Schizosaccharomyces pombe: one gene and its partners. Changing the gene in region 3 together with the main gene of any one other region gives a genetic interaction. Each region holds a gene or a part of one and is shown on either strand. Other genes may lie near its edges.

Evidence for each region.
Region 1: mutations in rhp41 (region 3) and rhp26 are lethal when combined (synthetic lethality), as found in Schizosaccharomyces pombe (2 studies listed by BioGRID, with this or other methods).
Region 2: mutations in rhp41 (region 3) and mag2 are lethal when combined (synthetic lethality), as found in Schizosaccharomyces pombe (one study listed by BioGRID).

Annotation. Positions count from the first base shown.
Region 1 is NC_003421.2:1,177,942-1,186,723, forward strand, and holds rhp26 (SNF2 family helicase Rhp26 ), read right to left. Parts: upstream 4,698-8,782; 5' UTR 4,617-4,697; coding exon 1,695-4,616; 3' UTR 991-1,694; downstream 1-990. Other genes in the region: thiosulfate sulfurtransferase Tum1, read right to left, coding at 1-548, 606-884; THO complex subunit Tho1, read left to right, coding at 4,855-5,049, 5,109-5,999, 6,055-7,227; coa4 (respiratory chain complex assembly protein), read right to left, coding at 7,947-8,030, 8,077-8,226; Prp19 complex subunit, RNA-binding Cwf5, read right to left, coding at 8,452-8,782. UniProt on the Schizosaccharomyces pombe protein: Involved in transcription-coupled repair (TCR).
Region 2 is NC_003423.3:2,118,257-2,121,550, reverse strand, and holds mag2 (DNA-3-methyladenine glycosylase Mag2), read right to left. Parts: upstream 1,295-3,294; 5' UTR 1,266-1,294; coding exon 624-1,265; 3' UTR 501-623; downstream 1-500. Other genes in the region: proteasome regulatory subunit Rpt6, read left to right, coding at 1-21; SPOM_SPBC23G7.10C (NADH-dependent flavin oxidoreductase), read left to right, coding at 2,097-3,284. UniProt on the Schizosaccharomyces pombe protein: Alkylbase DNA glycosidase-like protein that shows no DNA glycosylase activity for alkylated bases.
Region 3 is NC_003424.3:4,591,314-4,600,095, forward strand, and holds rhp41 (DNA repair protein Rhp41), read right to left. Parts: upstream 4,783-8,782; 5' UTR 4,477-4,782; coding exon 2,560-4,476; 3' UTR 2,287-2,559; downstream 1-2,286. Other genes in the region: protein Nod1, read left to right, coding at 1-211; glucan glucosidase exg2, read left to right, coding at 542-2,254; gid8 (ubiquitin ligase complex subunit protein), read left to right, coding at 5,126-5,226, 5,291-5,486, 5,531-5,956; tea5 (serine/threonine protein kinase Ppk2), read right to left, coding at 6,254-6,308, 6,367-8,309. UniProt on the Schizosaccharomyces pombe protein: Has a role in the nucleotide excision repair (NER) pathway. Acts in both transcription-coupled repair (TCR) which removes damage from the transcribed strand of active genes and in global genome repair (GGR) which removes damage in untranscribed DNA.

The DNA of each region.
Region 1 (8,782 bases), on a different chromosome or scaffold from region 3:
TAAACGCGTACATCCTTAAAACCGCACTCCTTAAGAGCAGCAAACAATACAGAAGCAGTTACACCAGAGCCACATGAAGTGATTATGGGAACAGACTTGTCTGTTAAACCATGGCTAGAAAACACCTTTTCCAAATCTTCCTCAGGCTTCGGAGCTGTAATACCAGCAGCAGTGGTTTCGGTAAATGGAATGTTGATGGACGTAGGAATATGCCCACTAGCTAAACCAGGACGAGATTCGGGAACGTTGCCAAGAAACCTTTCATGAGCGCGAGCATCAACGATGTGAACGCCTGCGGCATCTGGACTTTCAATCACCTTTACAATGTCATCAAAGGAAGCAACCAGATCTTTGTTCAACTTAGCACCTTCGTAAACAACGGGCTTTGGAGTTCTAGGTTCTCCAGTTTCCAATTCAAGACCCTCAGTTTTCCATGCGTTAAACGCATTAGGAAATAAGAAAACATGCTCATGACCAAAGACTTTAAAGGTCCAGAAAACCCTAGGAGACGAAAAAAACCCTTTTCGGTCATAAATGATAACATTGGTCTAAAATATTAGTAAAATTGAAGACTAAGTAATTGGAATTTCTAAACTACTACTTACGTTTCTGTCAATTCCTAATTTTCCAACGTAAGAGGCGAATTCGTCAGCTGGAGGAAGCATATGAGGAAGGGGATTTTTGTGATCTTTAGCCTCATCTATATCAAAGTATTGAGCACCTGGAAGACGACTTTCTAAATACTCCTTCTTTCCGTTTTTAGTGTCTGTTGGCAAGTACCAAGTAGCATCCAAGAGAACGGTTTTTTGAGCATTATCCTTTAATTTTTGCAATACGCCCTTAATAGGCAAAATAAAAGAGATTTTTTTACCAACAGAGAACATTGTTTGAAGCAGAGTCTTATTTTGTTTCAGCGAACTACATAGACTTCGAATTTCAAGTAATCTTACGAAAGTACAGCGTTGGTTGCAGCTCCCAAAATTAATTAACGAGTCAAGTTTTTGGTAAAACCAAATATGTGTGTAAAAATGGTTAGATGCGGTTGCATTGCTTATATACAAATATTAATTTATATAAAATGAAAAAGTACTAGTAATAAGTTCGCCAATAAGCACCAAGACATCAAAATTTTTGAACCACTAGTTTTCTAATTAAAAGGTCTTTTCTGACACTGTCAACAAACATGACTCTAGCATTCTAATAACGTTGACAAAAGAACGTAGTAATTTATAGCTACAAAAAGGGTTGCACGGGTTGCACATACCACTAACTAAGCCGCTTTGAGTGTTCATACTTTTCTCAGCCAACTAGAAAGTTATTAACGCTAATTTTAGGTCTCAGGTAAAGCGAATTTGTCAAGTGCTTGCTTACAATAACATTAACACACTTTAACCAAGTACTTTAACAAAAGGGAAAAATGATCAAAGTAATTCCGACAGCCCTATCCTCAACATGGAATTGACATTTCCAATACTTTTCAAGCAAAGTAAACCCACCTAGTAATAAGGATAATTCCCATTCAAAAAATGAAATGATCGCGTGTCTATCAATAAATCCATAAATAAAGCTTAAATCATGAAAAACTTAATGTACAAAATAAAGGGAAATAATAATAAATAAATAAATGGGTACAAGATTGGGTCCGAAATTTTAATGGATACAGCTTACTCTAAGGCGAACTTCTTCTAATTAATTCATCGTCTCTGTTTTAGTCGGGCAAGAAGAGTGCTTGAAGTAATCGGACCTGATGGTTTAGAAGTACCAGGAACATTAGTAGATTGCTGCGGAGGTATAAGTTGACGAGGAGGTCGCCGAAAAGATGAAACTGCACGCAGAGCTTCATTAGCAACACGCGTCGCTTCTTTTTCAACCAATATGCTTTCAGTCTGGGAGGCTTCCATGATATCGTCGTGCTTTAAAGTACTCTGAATACCAGCACTAGCAAAAATATCATCAAGGACGGAATCATCCCCTAAAGTCGAATCAGAGTTTGTCTTAGTAACATTTGACTCTTGCGGTGGTTTATACTTTTCCATCGATGCAATCCCCATTTTTTCAAACACTTTGGAGCTGTTAACTTTTTTACCTTTGTCGTGAATTTTGTGCTTTTTTCGGTCACGAGCTGGAATATCTTCAGCTTCATTGCCATTTCTTGAGGAATTATCCTTTCGAAGTACTCGTTCAGATCCCAAAAACATGCTGCCTGTCTCAGTGCCCTCAGTCTTGTTATCGCCTAACGTAAACAAATCGTGCAAGTCCGTCATTTTAAAAAACCTTCTTTGTTTTGGATCTTTCAAAATTTTGTTAGTCAGAAACTGCTTAAAGATTTGACGATGATAAATTTTTTCTTCAATAGTTCCAGCAGTCATCAACCGATAAACTACTACATCTTTCTTTTGGCCCAGTCTCCAAGCACGTTCACGTGCTTGAGCATCCGTTGAGGGATTCCAATCAGGATCAAAAAGAATTACCCTGTCAGCACCAGTCAAATTGACTCCTAATCCACCAACACGAGTAGTTAGAAGAAACACATCAAAATACTCATTTTTATTAAAGTTGTCCACCAAATCTTGTCTTAAAGCAATAGATGTGCTACCATCCATGCGACAGTAATGAACATCCGGCAAATCCTTTAATCCTATTTCCAGTATGTCGAGCATTTGGCGAGTCTGAGAAAATAGAAGAGTTCTATGTCCTTGTTTTTTCCACAAAGTTAGTAATGCTCTAATAACCTTCAGTTTGCCAGACTTTTCAGGATCACCATAGTTGTAATCTTCTTTATGTAACAAGTACTCTCGAGTTACAAGATCTGGATGATTACAAATTTTTCGTAGTATATCAATTCCATAAAGCATTTGACGCTTTCCGTTCAAGATCTTTTGCATATCAGAGCCTTGCAAAAAATCTTGGTAAGCTTTCCTTTGTAAAGGAGTCAGCTTACAGAACAATACTTGTTCGGACTTCTTAGGTAAATCTGCAGCAACGTCAAGCTTCATTCTTCTAAGTAAATAAGGAGAAATTAAATCTCGAAGCATGCAGGCGCATTTATAAGCGGTTTGCACTTGAACATTTGAAGCATTGGCATAACCACCAATATTAATAGGTAAGGCAAATTGATTTTGAAATACCGGTAATGTACCCAATCTTCCAGGAAATACAAAATCAAATAAATTCCAAAGCTCGGTAAGGTTGTTCTGGATCGGAGTCCCTGAGAGGATAATCCTATTCACAGTACGGATTTGCTTACACGAAATAGATATTTCAGAATCTGGGTTTCGTATTTTGTGCCCTTCATCCAAAACACAATAACCCCATTCCCGTGGTAAAATCAAATCACCATATATCCTTAAACCAGCATATGTTGTAATTAAAATGTGGCCTCTAGTGAAGACACTTTCAACTAAGTTCTTAGCGTATCTGTGGAATGAACTTGAAGCACCTCTTAATTTTATGGAGGTTTTGCTTTCTTCCGCTTCACTTTCAGAAGCGTCAGATTCATACTGTCTCTTTTCGCGTGAAGCACGCTGTCCGCTGCCAGTAGCATGAAGAACAACAACACGTAATGGAGCCCACCATGTATGAAACTCATTAACCCACTGCTTCATTAAAGTCGCTGGACAAACGATAAGTGCAGGCTTTTGAAATTTGCCAGAGTGATGCAAAGACGAAAGGAAAGATACTATTTGAATAGTTTTTCCTAGTCCCATTTCATCACCAATGATTCCTCCGGCCTCTTGACAATAGAGTTCCCATAACCATTGTACGCAAGTGACTTGATAACGGAAAAGATGTGGGCGAATATCACCTGGGATGGTAAATCCACCCTCAAAAGTCTGTCCTTTTTTGGAAGGATGAGGTAGTAACCACTCATCTTTACCTTCAAACTCTCCTCTATCTTTATTGTTTTCAGATGCTGAGGCCTGATCTCGTAATTCCTTACGATTCGCACACCAAGCATTAAGCCTTTGTCGATATACCAAATCATCTCCATCATCTATAGCGGCAGTTACTACTTTCTCCGTAACAGCATCCACAGTTACGTACTCATCTTTTTCGTCTCTTGGAATAATCCCATGATCAATATTTGACGGCTCCGAACTCAAATGAGGTGCCGTTTCATAGTATGTTCCTTCAGACTTTATAACAGCCTCACGAATGCTAGATTCATCATCAAAATCAACTTCTTTTTGTAGTCCAGAGAGATTTCGAAACGGTGTAACCTTACCAGTACGGATGAGCTCTTGTCTTTCCAATTCTTCAGTCGAAAATGCACCTATACCAGGGGCATTTGCCGAATCTTCGTTATTAAGTCTTCTCTTAATATCATTTTCGTCTGATTGTAAACTTTGAAGAGTGTCTCGGAATTTAGATAATTGTTTGCGGAAGTTCTCCTTGACACTTATTTTTGTAAGTCGACTGTCTATACGCTCATCAAGGCGACGTATTTTTTCTTTTACAGAAGATATTTCTTTCCTGACTTTTTGAAGTCTCTTCTTTTCGATCTCTCGACTTTCATGTGCAATGTACTCACTAGCAGTATTCGTAACATCGCGTTCCAAATTCTCTTGGTCAACCGAAAAAACCCCTAAATGGGATAGATCTTCATTGACACTCATATCCTATCAATTTCTTAAATAAAGTCTCATTTTCAGACTCACTGCAAATTTAAGAAAATACTTTGTTGTTTGGTTAAGGGCAAAATTACATATTCCTTCATGCTGCTCCTGTTATAGCGAGAAGCAATGAACCACACAAAGCAATAACGAATAAATCCTTATTTCTAAATGACATTGTCAATGCTAGATAAACTCACGTTTCTGCGCGCGGATTGTATATTCGCAGACTTTTAAAGTAATGGAGGTGCAAAAGGGTTTAATTGAAGCTTTTTATAATACATATCCATTAGAAAAGGCAAAAGAACTGGATAAGAGTCCACTTTGTTCTGAATATGAATTATTCATCAAAGAATTATGGCCTTCGATTGTTGAGAGTTTTCATAACTCAACTGAGTTTGAAACGGCAATAAGATTTTGCTGTTATGAAACAGCAGTATGTGCTTTTTCCATAATGAAGTTTTCCTTAAGTTACTAATTGTTATTTTCGTGTAGCGCAAAAGTGAGATTGGATTGGAGGAGCGATTAAAATGTTTATTTGCGATTTTGGATCTCTTAGTAATAGGGAACGAAATTAACGAAAGCTTCTGTGATCACCTGTTGCCTTTTCTAATCTTGGAAGAGCTGATGGACATTCACACCGTCAACGAATGCGCCAAATTATATGAATATTTTGAAACCAGACCTAGCTTGATGAAAGGTATTGTCAGCAATCGTGGAAGAGGACCCGTTTTGCTTCGGATATCAAATGAATTACTCCGGCGTCTTTCTCGGCAAGAAAATTCATCTTTTTGTGGGCGGATCGATATTCTGCTAAGTAAGGCTTTCCCCCCTGAAGAACGGAGTGGAGCCAATTTACGTGGAGATTATAATACTGTTCATTCTTTTGGGAAGGTAGAACTGTCACCACCATCCACACCCATTTCGGACCGAACAGACCTCTCATATCACAAAAAACTTAATACCTTATTTACTGCTTATTGGGATTTGCAGTGTATGTGCTCCAACCCTCCTAAATTACTAGCAAGTGATACCTTACCTAAGTTTATAGATGCAGCTGGTTCTGCAATACAGGCATTCGAATCTATATTACAAAATACGTTCTTCAATGGGAAGTCAAACCCTACAATTGATCCAAACTCTAGCTCATTACTTTCTGAAAAATATATAACTTTGGATAAAGGATTTCCTTCTAAATATATATATTCTCGGTCGCTTTTTGAATACCAACTTTCAGATGAAGATTTCCGGTTACAGGCTATTTTACAATTAATTATTATTTTCGACTTTTTGCTTGACCATTCTAAAGAACGAATTGAAAGGAGAACTCTTGAAAAATGGACAAATAAGGCGGTAATTCCCATTGTTATTTTGTCTGACGAAGATGTATGTTCTTTTTTAGACTCGAAAAAAACTGATTTTATTGATTGCTAATATGTAGACCTCAAAGTTAAATGAATTATCCAAAGAAGCATATAGTTTCTTACATACTGCCCGGTGTGGTTCTGTGCAAAGAACCATTAAAGAAATTATACATATTGAGGGTAATTGGAAATTATGGAAAGGGCTTGGCTGCCCTTCCCTTGAAAAACCCCTAGTAGATAAAGCGGCTATTGATGAAGCTGTCGAAGGCTTAAAAAAGCTTACAAACACCCCAGTGAAATTAAGATTTGCTATGGGAAATGCTGCTTTGTCGAGGCTCTGGGAGCAGGCTGGAGAAAATACCCTTGATGATCTCAAAAAGGAGGAAAGGTACCGGATTCCATCACCTGAGAGCTTTTTATCTGGCGTTAAAGCAGACAAGTTTGAAATAGAAGAGGCAGTTAGAGATGATGACAAGCATTTCCATGAACAGTCCTTGGCAACGAAGACATGGCGTGCCTTTCGTTCAGCAATTAATAGCCATCTTCAAAACTTTTCGGATACCGGACTAGGTGATGTTGAATTGCTTTGTAATTCCATTGAGGGCAAACCGACTACATCGAAAATTACACCCTCTATTCCTCCAGCTTTTGATATTCATATTATAGAAGGAGAAGAGTTATTAGAGGAAATGAAAAAGAGGGAGAATGTCAAGCACAATTCTCAAAACTTTGCAAGTCCTATGCAAACAGATGCTGAAGGTGATATTGTCCAAAATGAAGAGGAAAAAGAAAGCGTTGAGGTTGAAGAAGGAAAACATAAAAATGACTTGCCAAAGGTATCACCTAAACCCCCAACTGAGGGTGTGGACAGTGAAGTAAACGGTGAATCTTTGGTTCAGGTTAATAAGGTTCTCAAATCAGAAGATGATAATACATCTGAAGCTTCAAAGGACCCATCTTCACATGTGAAATCTCCCGAAAATATTGAAAAACTAAAACAAAATGATGATCACTTTGAGGTCACAGAAGAAATTACTTCCACCATAAATTCTAAAATATCTGAAAAGCAAGAGAATAATGTTGCTGAAACTATATTGGAAGTAACATCTAGTCCAAAATCTTCTGAAAATAGTCAAAAGCAGTCAGAGATTACTAAAAAGCGAGGACGGGATGAGGAAGATGAACCTTCTGACCTTCATTCAAGCCCTAAAAGGCCAAAAACTGGAGAGGATGGAGAAATTGTATTATAATCATTAAATCAATTACACATATGTGATAAGTGCTTAGTTATGATTGAGTCAGAAAATGTATATATAGTTAATGTTTTGATCTAGCGTGTTTTTGTATGCGCTTATATAAAATAAAATTACATCCTTTTAGTAGAGCTACTGTAAAGATGAATTTCATTGTTTATTGATGGGTAAATTACGCTTATTTACTAAACTGCACACATTTTTTGACAGTTGAATACGTTCACATGTTCAATATGAAAACATTCTAAAGTCAAATTTTTTATTTTTCAACAAATGCAACAATAAAAGCGGGTTATAAGTACAGAACTTTTCCAATATCGATGGATCAGATTTGAAACAGACTTATACAATTTGACAACAACGTTGAATTGTAAAATATGTTTTTGCGTATTTAAACTCCATCCTATCAATTCAATACTAAGTCATAACTTGCTTTACCATACCACATAACACAGAAAAATTGATGCACTATGACAACTGAGACTTCGTAAAATAAATAGCTGAAAACTCTGCAATTGCAGAAAATATTCAAAAAAATTATATCAAATGAGTTAATGATTTGAAACACTGTCTTCGTATTTGAAGAATCCAATTAATTAGTTCCGCATGCATTATATCTTTTTCAATAAAAAGAATTCATCCTAATAACAGCGTACTAAAACTGCCGTAAACAGAATAATTATTTTTTTCACAAAATCACATGATATAGAAACTCATTAAGATAAATTTTTATTTTTTTTGTCTGAGATACTTGGCAAAGGACCATGTCTCTTTTCCCAACATTTCCTGAATTCTTCCATCTAAAAATATCAGAATTAGCTAAATTTTTTAAAGACATATAATTACCTGTTCTGTACATTTCCTCCAATCATGAGTATCCCAATAGCAATCATTCAGTCGAAGGTGCTCTTCTACACATCCACCTTTTTCAAGAGCAGTGTCCCATACATCTTTTTCCTCTTCTTCTCCGTCAGGAGTTTTTTCAATACTATCCATTCAGAAAAAATAAATTGATGCTTTATAATGTAAAAAATATGCAAAACCCAAAGTGTTTTGCTGAGTAAGGTAAAGCAGCAGATATTTGATTATTTAAGGAGAATGACCGAGAGACGACAGAAAAGGTGCAAAGACAAATAAACAAGAAAATACAGAATAAAGCTTGTCAGTATTAGAGAAAATAAGTTAATAGCTACTACAAAGGTTTTAAATGACCAACTGACTTCACCGCGGAATTTGAGATCGGTAACGGGGTTGATTGGGGTCAATGGGTATAGCAACTGCAGGGCTTTTAGTATTTTCATGATCTTCATTTTCAATGTTTTTAATCGTAGATTTTTGGGAGGTTTTATTTCCATGGGATGAACCTCGCATCACAAGGTCTGCCAACTTTGCGTTTCGTACTTCACCCTCAGGTCCTCCAAGAGAACGAGGTTTTCCCCATTGAACTTTCAGTCGAAACCCCTCTATAACAACATTTCCATCGGGAGATGCCGCCGCCGCAATCTCAGCACTAGAACGAGTTTTAAAGTTTACGAATGCGCATTTTGCTCGA
Region 2 (3,294 bases), on a different chromosome or scaffold from region 3:
TTACAAAAGCTTTTCAAGTAGATGATTTTACATATGTATTAATGAATATGATTATAAGTTTAGTCAAATTGTTTGTACTTAATTGATTGTTGGTTATTATATATTACATATTTAGATTGTAGATAAACGTTCTTTTCAAAATTAATTCTATCCTTTACTATTCGTTAAAAATTCTATATCGATTAATGGGTTGTTTGTCAGTCGTTGATTTAGTCCTGAATATACATAAGGAAAAGTTAATCCAGGGTGGAGTCGACTCTTTGTATACCAAGTATTACAGTATACCACCACTCGTAAACTAAATTATGGAGTGCTGGCAGGCAAAATATTTGGATTAGTATTTTAAAATAATCTGCATCTGGATTATATAGCAAAAAAAAAGCAGTCAACGCAGCTCTTGTTGTTCGCGGTAACTAGACCGGTGCTATGTTTACAATGAAATTGCGGGTTTTCGATCGTACGTATACACATCTACTAATTGATTTGTATTAGTTAGTGATAAATATTAAGAAAGATTAGAAAAATTAATCAGTAACTTTATGTTTGGCATGTGTACTAGATAAAGTATGGCTTATTATATGTTCATAAACAAAAGCGGGAACCATTAGATATTTGAACGACTTTTACTGGCCTTTACGATGGAGTTTCGGAATTTGCCATAAATACCAAGCAGCTATTGTTCTGTATGGTTTACAAGGTTTAGTTAGTTTTTCAACTTCTTCAGTTTGCGGTTTGCTAGATAATCCAAAGAATTCTTTTGCTTCATTCTTCAGAGTAGAGTCATCCGCAGGCATTATGTCCAGTCGTCCGAGTGTAAAGATAGAGTACATTTCTATGGTCCATCGTTTTACTCCTTTTATCTTACTTAGTGACTCCATGAGTTCTTCTTCCGACATCTTCTCAATTTCCGATTTAGAAGGTATTTGCTTGTTTAATGCAGCCTCTGCAACAATGTGTATCTCTTGAGACTTTAATTTTGAAAAGCCACATTCATGCAAAGTTTCAACGTCTGTTTCCATAATTTGCTTAGGAGTAGGAAACTCGTCATTGTCTGAGCACTGTGTACAAAATTTATTGATAATTGAATTTGTGGCAGCGTCTGAAAGCTTCTGTGATGTTATAGCTCGAATAATTCCTTCGTAGGGTGCGTGCTCTGGATGTGGAGTAAGTGTACAAGGTCCAACTTTTTTGACAAGAGACGACCATTTGTTATCAATTGAAGATAAATGCTTTTCAGCCCTTTTGTAGTCCGAATCTTTTGACATTTTTGTATTACTTTTGAGTGTATGCGCTTGGAATGGGATGTGTTTTTCACGCTTCTGAAGTTTTTTGCCTTTATACTTATTACGTAACTTATAGATTGCTTTGCATCTTTGATATGCTTAAGCCAGTTTTAGATTTTAAATAGGTCTTGGTATATTTTTGTTGATTAAAAAAAGAATAGTTAATCTTATTTAACTAGCAATATTGTGAGTCGATGGTGTTTAATATGCTTGTTATGAATATTATTATAGTTTAATTTTAGAAATAAGGGTTAAGTATTTTGGCAATTGGTAAGTTTGTATATATTTCAAAAAAAAATTGCAATAATACACATATACAGTATGAAGAATTGCTGCTGCTTTTTAGAATGACTATTTACTAATGTATGCAATAAATCGATTCTCGTAATGTTTGAGCAATTTAACTTAGCAATGGATATTTCAACATTATTAGTATTTTGATTATGACAGCTTGTTAATCATTTGATTTTTGTAATATTTTTTAGTTGGAATTCAAAAAGCGCTATATTGAAGCATTCGTAATCTTTAACAGGTTTCCTATTATAGTTCTTTTCTTTGTTGAGGTAGATTAAAGAAACAAATGATACTTTTACTTCGACAGCTTTCTATTTGAAACCTCATTGTTAAATTTTCTGTAATTTGCAATGTTGCCGTGCTATCGAATAGAATGATGAAAAGATATTATGTAATATGATCATGGTTTGTTGCACGGAAATATTGCGGTTAGCTTAGTAAGGAATAACATTATGCTTTGTGTATAAATATGTCCCAACGACTGGCCAATATATTAATTTGAATTGAAAAATTTTAAAAATGACTATTGTTAATGAAGGAGCCGAAAATGTTGGTTATTTTACACCTGCGCAAAAAATACCAGCTGGAGCGGCGATAGGTGTACCGCAAACAAAATTATTTACTCCTCTTAAAATTAGAGGAGTGGAGTTCCATAACAGAATGTTTGTTTCGCCGATGTGCACTTATTCCGCTGACCAAGAAGGGCATTTGACAGATTTTCACCTAGTACATCTTGGAGCGATGGGAATGCGTGGGCCTGGCCTTGTAATGGTAGAAGCGACAGCGGTTTCCCCAGAGGGACGAATTTCACCTAATGATTCAGGATTATGGATGGAGTCGCAAATGAAGCCGTTACGAAGAATTGTTGAATTTGCTCATTCGCAAAATCAAAAAATTGGGATTCAATTGGCGCATGCTGGTAGAAAGGCTAGCACCACTGCTCCTTATCGAGGATACACAGTTGCGACTGAAGCTCAAGGTGGGTGGGAGAATGATGTTTATGGACCAAATGAAGACAGGTGGGACGAAAACCACGCTCAACCTCATAAGTTAACTGAAAAGCAATATGATGAATTAGTGGATAAGTTTGTTGTTGCTGCGAAGCGTGCAGTTGAAATAGGTTTTGATGTAATTGAAATTCATGGCGCTCATGGTTATCTTATATCGTCAACAGTTAGTCCTGCCACTAATGACCGCAATGACAAGTATGGTGGGACATTTGAGAAACGTATTTTGTTTCCTATGGAAGTTGTCCATTCTGTTCGTAAAGCAATTCCAGATAGTATGCCCTTGTTTTATAGAGTAACGGCTACAGATTGGTTGCCCAAAGGACAAGGATGGGAGATAGAAGATACAGTTGCATTAGCAGCGAGGCTTCGCGATGGTGGTGTTGACTTGATAGATGTTAGCTCTGGTGGTAATCACAAGGATCAAAGAATTGAGGTGAAGGATTGCTATCAAGTTCCTTTTGCGGAAAAGATTAAGGATCAAGTGAATGGAATACTACTTGGCGCTGTCGGAATGATCAGGGATGGTCTTACGGCGAATGAAATCCTAGAAAGTGGAAAAGCTGATGTTACTTTTGTCGCAAGGGAGTTCTTAAGGAACCCGTCGTTGGTGCTAGACAGCGCGAACCAGTTGGGTGAAAATGTTGCATGGCCAGTTCAGTATGACTATGCAGTTAAGGGACACAGAAAGTTACGTTGAATGTCAAATT
Region 3 (8,782 bases):
ATTTCTTAAAGCCTGTAAAGATCTGGAAGAAGTTTCCAAGTCATATGAGGAAAGCCGTGAGGAGATTGAAGCTTTGCATGAAACATTTACGGAGGAAGTGACTTCTTTTCAAAGTACTAAGAGATTGAAAGAGGAAAAAATTATTCAAGAAAAAAGTCGGGTTGATAAAATGATCGACGAATATCGTCAAAAACTTTCAGAAAGCACTTAACACTTTTACGTTTAATTATTGGAAATTTACTTATATTTTTAGATTGTTATTAACTTTTTATTATGTTTATGACTTGTTAACTGCTAACTTATATGCATGTTCCACCGCTAACGTCACAATGATGGATCGGTATTATTGTAATAGTTTTGCAATTTAAATACTGTTTGATGACTACATGTTCATATTTTTTGTTTGAAGCACGTTCTTCCTTTCTTTCCTCCCTTTGAAGAGTTGTATCATTATCTTTGTTTCTTTTCTTGTCAAGGGCCCGGTAGTTCCTTCTTTTAATAATTGGATCAAAATATCTTTCTTTCTTTTTATTGATAAAATATGAGCAATCTTTTAGAAGCTGAGTCATCTTGTGACTCTAAATCACTCGGTGTTGATGACTTTACATCTAAAAGGTGTAGAGAAATTGACAAGAAGGCTCTTCTTATTACTATCCTCCTTACATTTTTTGTTTCCCTATGTGTTTTCCTGTCAATTATTCTTCCTCTTATATTTTTAGTTATTATTCCTCACGCTCAGTCAGATCGAAAAATTAAAGACACAAATATGGAAACCACTAATTTAGGCGTAAATATAATTGATGAGATATTTAATTCCACTCAAGTACCTGAATGGGCTAAAAACTCGCTTTTGGACACCAATACTTGGCTTGATACATCTGATTTCAATACAAGTTTTACGAACGAAACGTTCGCTGGATTATATACAATGGGAATATTTGATAAATATGATGATTCCGTTCAGGCAAATCCTAATGTCCCTCCTTTGAACGAGCCTTTTCCGTACGGTCGACTTCCCATTAGAGGTGTAAATCTAGGTGGATGGCTTTCAATGGAACCATTTATTACTCCATCTTTTTTCCAAGTGAAAAATGAAACTGCATACTTAGTAAAAGATGAATTGAGTCTACACGCATATTTGGGGGAAAATGCCACCAGCGTTATTGAGAACCATTACAATACATTTGTCACGAAACAAACATTTTACGAAATTAGGGAAGCAGGTTTGGATCATGTTCGGATTACCTTTCCATATTGGATTCTTTACAGTAATGAAATAACTAATGTCTCGGGTATTGGGTGGAGATATCTACTTAGATCTATCGAATGGGCTCGTGAGCAAGGATTAAGAGTTAATCTTGATTTACACGCCGCACCTGGTAACCAAAACTCTTGGAATCACGGTGGATATTTGAATCAAATGGAGTGGTTGGATGGCACAGTGAAAGGCGAGGAAAATTCTCAATTCACACTAAAAATTCATGAAAGACTTGCTTCTTTTTTCTCTCAGAAACGGTATAGAAATGTCGTTACAATATACGGTGCACTTAACGAACCAAATTTCTTCGTTCTTGATGAGCACAAAATTACTGATTGGCATAAGCAAGCCTATGCGGTAATTCGCCAATCTAATTTTACAGGTCTAATATCACTTAGTGATGGATTTCGTGGTCCAGGTAATTGGGAAGATCATTTTGATCCATTTCACTTCCCAAACATACTTATCGATGTACATAGGTATATCATTTTTAATGATTTCTTAATTGGTTTGAGGCCAAAAGATAAACTTAATGTGATATGTAAGTCATGGAACGAAGAAATGAAGTTAAAGGCCAAATTACCGACGATTATAGGAGAGTGGAGCCTTGCGGATACAGATTGTGCTAAGTTTTTAAATAATGTTGGAGAGGGTGCTCGATGGGACGGCACTTTTACTCCTAATGGAGGTGTTGCCAGTTGTTCTGAAAAAGTTGGTTGTCGTTGCGACTTCGCAAATCAGGACCCCGAAAATTACGAGGATTCTTATCGAAAGTTTCTATATGCTTTAGCTACTTCACAAATTGAAACATTTGACAAAACATGGGGCTGGTTTTATTGGAACTGGGACACCGAAAATGCCACTCAATGGAGTTACAAAAAATCATGGCTGGCAGGTTTGTTGCCTCGCTTGGCTTACTCTACAACGAAGGATTTCAATTGCAGCATGCTTGATTCTAAATCTTTCATGGAGTTTGACGAGCAATCTGAATTTTGATGGTAATTAGAAAATGCAAGCATTGTTCTTTGGATAATATCAATCTTTTATTTTAATTTATGTCAATATAAAGGTACTTATTAAAGACCCCTGAATTCTATAGAATTTTAAAGTCATGATCGCTCATCTTTATTTGTGTACTAATATATATATACAAAGAAATATATGATAACAATTCAAACTTCGTATTACAATAAAAAATAAATAACAACCTTGATGTAGATAACACTAAGAATGTGTAGCCAGGTACTTTGTAAAATGATTCCATCATTGAGCTCGTAGATTAGGAAAATCGAATTTATCAATTAACCGTATTCTTCGAATACACGCTGACGAATCCGAAGGCCTGTAATCAGTCGCTTCCATAATAAAAGACAAGTCTTTCTTACATTCCTTGCCTCTGCTTCTTTTTCTTCCTGGTCTATCTCCTCTGCAATGAGATCGATAGCCTCTTCATAACGCTTAGAAACAACAACTCCCTCTAATTTAGGCTTTGAGTACTTCCGTTGAAAATCAAATCCAACAACTGCTTTTGCATAGTCAATCTCTAAAAATTTAGCTGCTGCCAAAGCACAACGTTTTCTACAATGATATGCTCCATATGGCAACATTGAAGGGACATATAAATCGATGTTTCCGTATGCATTTTTAGGAACAATGTTCGCAACAACCGGTTTCGGAGTGTACAACTGCGTAGCTTCTTCATCATACAAGGGTAATACTTTATCTCCATTCTTAACATGTTTTAAAGGCTGAGCTCCTGGCTTTATGATACGACCCTTACGATACCAATGTTCAGCAGAGAAGCCGTTGCTAACATATTTGCGTGGATACACTAATTCGACCCCATTTTTTGTGTTGATTCTTCCACAGGATTTACCAGTTTTAATAGCCTGGTTCTTTTTTAAATGCCTCTCCAAAACAAAAAGCGGGTGATCTTTCAAATCTTGAATATTCCTCGGAATTCCTTCTGATTGTTCAAGCCTTAGTAATTCCGCATCCTCTATAGCATCCATGTCATTATAAAAATCCCTTGGTTTTCCAATTTTAGAAAATATTCTATTCATCCAAGCCTTTCCAAAGGGAAAAATCTCGACTCTATTCTTTAATATTTTATAATAATGTAAACAATATTTTCGGGTAACATCTTTTACATACCCATTAGCCTCAATAGCAAATACATAAGTCATTTGATTTAGATGGTCACTGGAAGCCGGTTCAAACCTTCTGTACTTGCCAATGACACTAGCATCACCAAATGGATCAACACAAACCCATTTTTGCATAGCTTTATTAAAAGCCTCTACCCAAAAAACCGGTTTGGGAGAATCAATTACCTTTAGTTTTGTATCTTCTGTAACAATATCTGAGGCATCAAGATGTGAAAGATTTGAAAAAGAAGGCTGTATGATTTTCCTACGTTTGCGAAATCTAGAAGTAATGTGTGCACTTTCAGAGATATCGCTAGATGAATCATTTTCCATTTGCTGAGACCATGCCGGAACAATTTCATGACTACTTGCTTCATTTATGGCACCTTTAAATCGAAAAGATAAAACTTGTAGTGAAAAAACTAGTCTAGTTGGAACGTTTAAATTACGAAGAATAGATGCAAATAACTGGGTTCCATAATCTCTACTACCGGAAAGCAATTTTGAGTTTTTACAAAACTCCTCAAGGGATAAAGATTCAGAGATGAGGCTATTGTTTTGTAGTAAACCATAATTCGGTTTTCTTAATCCATTGGTAGTGATTTTATATTTCCGTTTCCAAACTTCGACGAGTCCAGCCAACCCGTGTAGGAAAGTTTTGTTCCGAATCATTTGTGACTTTTGAGAAGAGGGATGAAGCGAGACACGTATACCAGGAGGAATATATTTCACAAGATAATTTAGTCTATTGTCATCGCACCAAGTGTTTCGTGTGCAAAGATGATAAGTCAAACAGAGTAAGTGTAACTGATGAATTTGAAGACGAATCTTTCTATCAACGGAAGTGATCTTTAAGCGGCTACGTTTTTCAACCGTTCGATCAACGGTGGCCTCAACGTCTCCAAAATCATGAGTTGGTCGTTCTTGAATCAACCTTTCACCATGTACGGCGGATGAAAGGAGCGAAGAATTTAAAATAGGTGCAGTTTTAATATCATTATTAGGGAGACCAAGATCTAAATCTAACCATTCTTCATCATCACTATAGGTATTATCTTCGTCACTCATCATAGCATTTATATTTGATAGAAGCCAACTTTTTTCAGTATTAAGACTCGTTGCGCCCTTATTCTATTATATTATTTTAAAAAATGAAACATAAAAAACCAATGAAACGTTTTTGAGATGCGTAACTCTTTAAAAACACTAGGGAGCACGAGTTTATAAAGATACTTCAATTAAGTAGAATATAAGAAAATGTTTTGACCATTAATAATGCACGTAACACATGAGAAAAAGATTTGTATTTATTGATACGAAAAGTAGTTCATAACGTTAAGAAAAACAAATTCCTTTTCTATTAAAATCATAGCTAACGTTGAATTTGTTTATATACAGCGTTGTAGTGAAACCAAAAATCGCCGTTAGAGTACATTATATTTTAAGTTAGAAGTTTGCGTTGCATTTTGGTAAACGGCATATCTTTGAGGTAGCGATATGGCTACTTTGCAACTTCAATCTTTAGCATTGCACAGGCTATTCGAATTTCAAATTGCCTTTTTCAAGGGTTTACTATCTCTATCCTATATAAATTTCGTTAAATTTCTTTTTATCAAGAATTGAGGCTCGTTTATCCGGTCATAACTTTTGGTAGCTTTAAAAGGTCTCTTTGTTTAGGATAGAATAGAATTTGCTACCGTTCTCTCACGAGAGCTTAAAGATGGTAGGCACTTCTTCTTTAGATATTTCAATGAGCGGTAGCTCAAGTTCGGACGCAGAACAATGGGAGAAACAGACAAAAAGTGTCCATATCGATAATTCGTAAGTAACTGAAATAGTTGCTTCGCTGAACGTTACTGATGGTTACTAATCATTGCTTGTACAGAGACGTGAATTCGCTGATTTTAGATTATTTGGTGATTCAAGGTGACGAAGAAGCCGCAAAAACATTTGCTGAAGAAGCTCAAATTACGGATTATTATATTCCTCCATATGTAAAAGAACGTTTAGAGATTTGCGAGTTAATTAAATCAGGTTCAATTAACTCTGCAATATGCAAACTGAATGAATTGGAGCCAGAGGTATGCTGAAAGCAAGTAAGGATTACGAGTTAACAGCTACATAGATTTTGGACACAAATTCAGAACTTCTGTTTGAATTATTACGATTGAGATTGCTTGAATTGATACGAGAAGTTGTTGAAGAGAAAGATACCTCTGATTTAGCGGTAGAAAGATGTTTAAACTTTGCACATGAAAATTTAGCACCTTTAGCACCCTCAAATCAAAAGTTTTTGAATTCTTTAGAGTTGACAATGTCGCTTTTATGTTTTCCTCCTTCTTCCTACAGCCCTGCCTTGAAAAATGTTTTGAATTACAGCCAACGTGAGCGTGTTGCAAACCTTGCCAACGTTAGTATATTGAAGTCTCAAGGATTATCAAATGAGTCTAGGTTGTTGTCTTTGGTAAATTTTGAGCGCTGGTGTGAAAAAGAGGCACAAAGGAATTCGATTGAAGTGCAGAAATTTGTGCCCAAAGCATCCATAAAATGATTACTTTTTACGACCTTCCTCAGTTTATGCATTTATGTCTGTTACATCCATTTAACATAAGAACTTTTTTCGTATTGTTCTCACTAATGATAATTAAATTATTGAACTCACAAATGATAATATGACATTCAATTAACAAAGCCAATTTTTGTTGTTAAGCAACATCGTATAGTATCAAGTTACTGACAAGCAAAGCAAACACAACTTTTCCTTTTAAAAGTAAGGAGGGAATTTAATGGGTTATTAAATTAGCAATATTTTTTCTATGGCGAATAATTTGATTTTCTTCATTGGTAATCATAGATAACTGTAGCGAGATGCCTTTCGTTCTCGCAAATTAAGATTGTTTAGGCTAAAAAAAAAGGTTAGAATTGGATATAAACAAAAGTGTTCCAAAACTGAAAACTTACCAAATTTCAAAATTGAGCGTTTGTCGCTTTTCCAAAAAACTAGAAGTTTCCAACAACATATTGATATTAGGGCCTTGTAATGTTTCGGCTTGCAAGGTTTGTAAAAGGAATTCCTTAAATTCTTGGCTAATTAATCCACGAACTCGGTTGACTAAAACATTTGCATTCGGAGTTAGTTGGATGGATTGAATAGATTTACGAAAAAAGTTTGGCTGACCTTGAAAAATTTCAAGAGCAACTAAGCCCAAGCTTTTAACATCCTTCATAAATCCTTCTTTATAATTCTTTTCAATTAACCAGTCAGGAACATGAGATACTGCTCCACGGTTAGTCTGTCTTTCAATGTATGGCGAAGAAAATGCATAATTGCCAATTTTAAGGCAACTGCTTTTCGTGAGATATATGCATTCGGTAGTAAGGTTATGATGAGCTATCCCACTATTATGAAGAAATGCAAGACCAGAACTTATCTCATAACATATGGAAGCTATGTTTAACTCACTAAAAAAATATTTGGGGATTAAAGCTGACAACTTGGTGCTTGGGTCTTTATATTCAAAGACCGACCAAATATTGTTCAGATACCAAAAACTCTCGTTATAACGAATTAAATTTTTGTGAGAGAGACCAGATAATCGCTGCAATTCTTCGAGTAAAAGCCTCCTATGAGTTACAGCTGAAATGTCAAACCGTTTAATTACAACCACTTCTTTATCCAGAGTTTGACGAGCAACGTAGGTTCCAACTGTATCTTGTTGGCATATTTTGGTAAAGTCGGTATAGAAGAACAATGGATCTTTTTGTGTGCAAAGGCAGTCTACTATCTGTAGGTAATACTTTTCTCGTGCAACGAAACGCATTAGATCATCAGAATATGAAACTTTATGCATAGCTGCAGCAGGGATTGAACTACTTGGATGACCGACAGCAGATTGTGAAAGTTTTGGGCTTTGTGGACTAGGCTTGGCAGGACTAATACTAATTGGAGACATAGGAACTGGAGTAGAGACAGATCGAGATAAAGGATACGAAGAAACATCGCCTTGTTGTATTGTCGTTGCGGAATGCCCATCGTCCAGACTTTCAGCAGTAGAAGCACTGCTAAAATGCGAAGCTACTGACACAAACCCATCTATGGATTGTGTATCTACGTTGTGTAGTAATGGAGCATCATAAGCGGAAGGTGAAATGCTATCTCTGTTACCATTTGAGTTTTCCTGTATGGACGACCGATAGTTAGTAGTATTAGGACGAATCGAGATGTTGAAATTATCGGGTACTAAATTTCGGCAATTCATTGAGGAAGTAGAAGATGAAAGTCTGTTGGTTGAAACTTCATCAGGCGTAGTGGGGACTGGGGGAGAACTTAATGCTTGGGAATTAAGAACAGTTGGAAGACTGCTCGGACTATGATTATAGGAGTAAGACTTATATAGATGAATGGGGAGGGAAATAGGAGCTGATTCACTTCTGAGGTGTAAAGATATTGATCGAGAAAGAGTAGAAGATTTTTTAGAATTTCTACGAGATAACGATGGTAGTCCATGTAAACTCCTGCGTCTATACATGTCTTCTTTTGAAGATCGTGATCTATTTAGTCGTTTAGGACTGCCTGAATCATCAGATGAATGCCAGACTTCCGATTGTCCATTCGATTTTTGGTTTTGCAAATGGAAAGGAGGACTACGAGTACTATTACCAGACCCATGAATTAATGAAAGGAAGTGACCACTCAGACGACGAGCATAGTATCCAAACTTCTTTTTTGGTGGTTCTGGGGCAGGTCGCGAAGGCTGCAAGTCAATTATAGAGTCATTAGGAAAAGAAGAAACTAAATGATCCTCAGAAGCTCTACAGGCAGACGAAGACGCATTGCTTTGGCAGGCATTATTGTGAAAGTGGCTTTTTGCGTGATGTTCATGGAATGTAGAATTGGAAAGCATACAAAAAAAAGTAAATCAACAAAGAAGAAAAAAGAGAAAGCGACCATAAAATACAAACTTTTCGAACATGAAAAGCGAGAATGATAAACAGAAGTAGACAATCGAACTAACACCCAAACAAAAAGAACGAATAATTGGAGTGTAATTCGAGGAAATTGTTTGATAAATAAAGCTATTACTTCCCTTTTGTTAATTAAAATACAAAAGCAAGTCCAATTTTTCAACAATCAAGATGGATATACTTTACAATAGCTGTTAGGTTTGTACCAAAACTGATAAGTGTAGTGTTACTCTCAAGGTAACGTCCGTAGGTAACGAAAAATTCCTGAAATTCTTAAGAAGATATAGAAAGAAGGTAAATCAATATTATTGTTGATTAGAAATAAAGGATTTTTGATGTATTCGGGTATTGCTCATAGATGCTTATCTTTGAAAGTTAAAGAGTTCAGAAGATTCGATAAATTTCCCGCTTA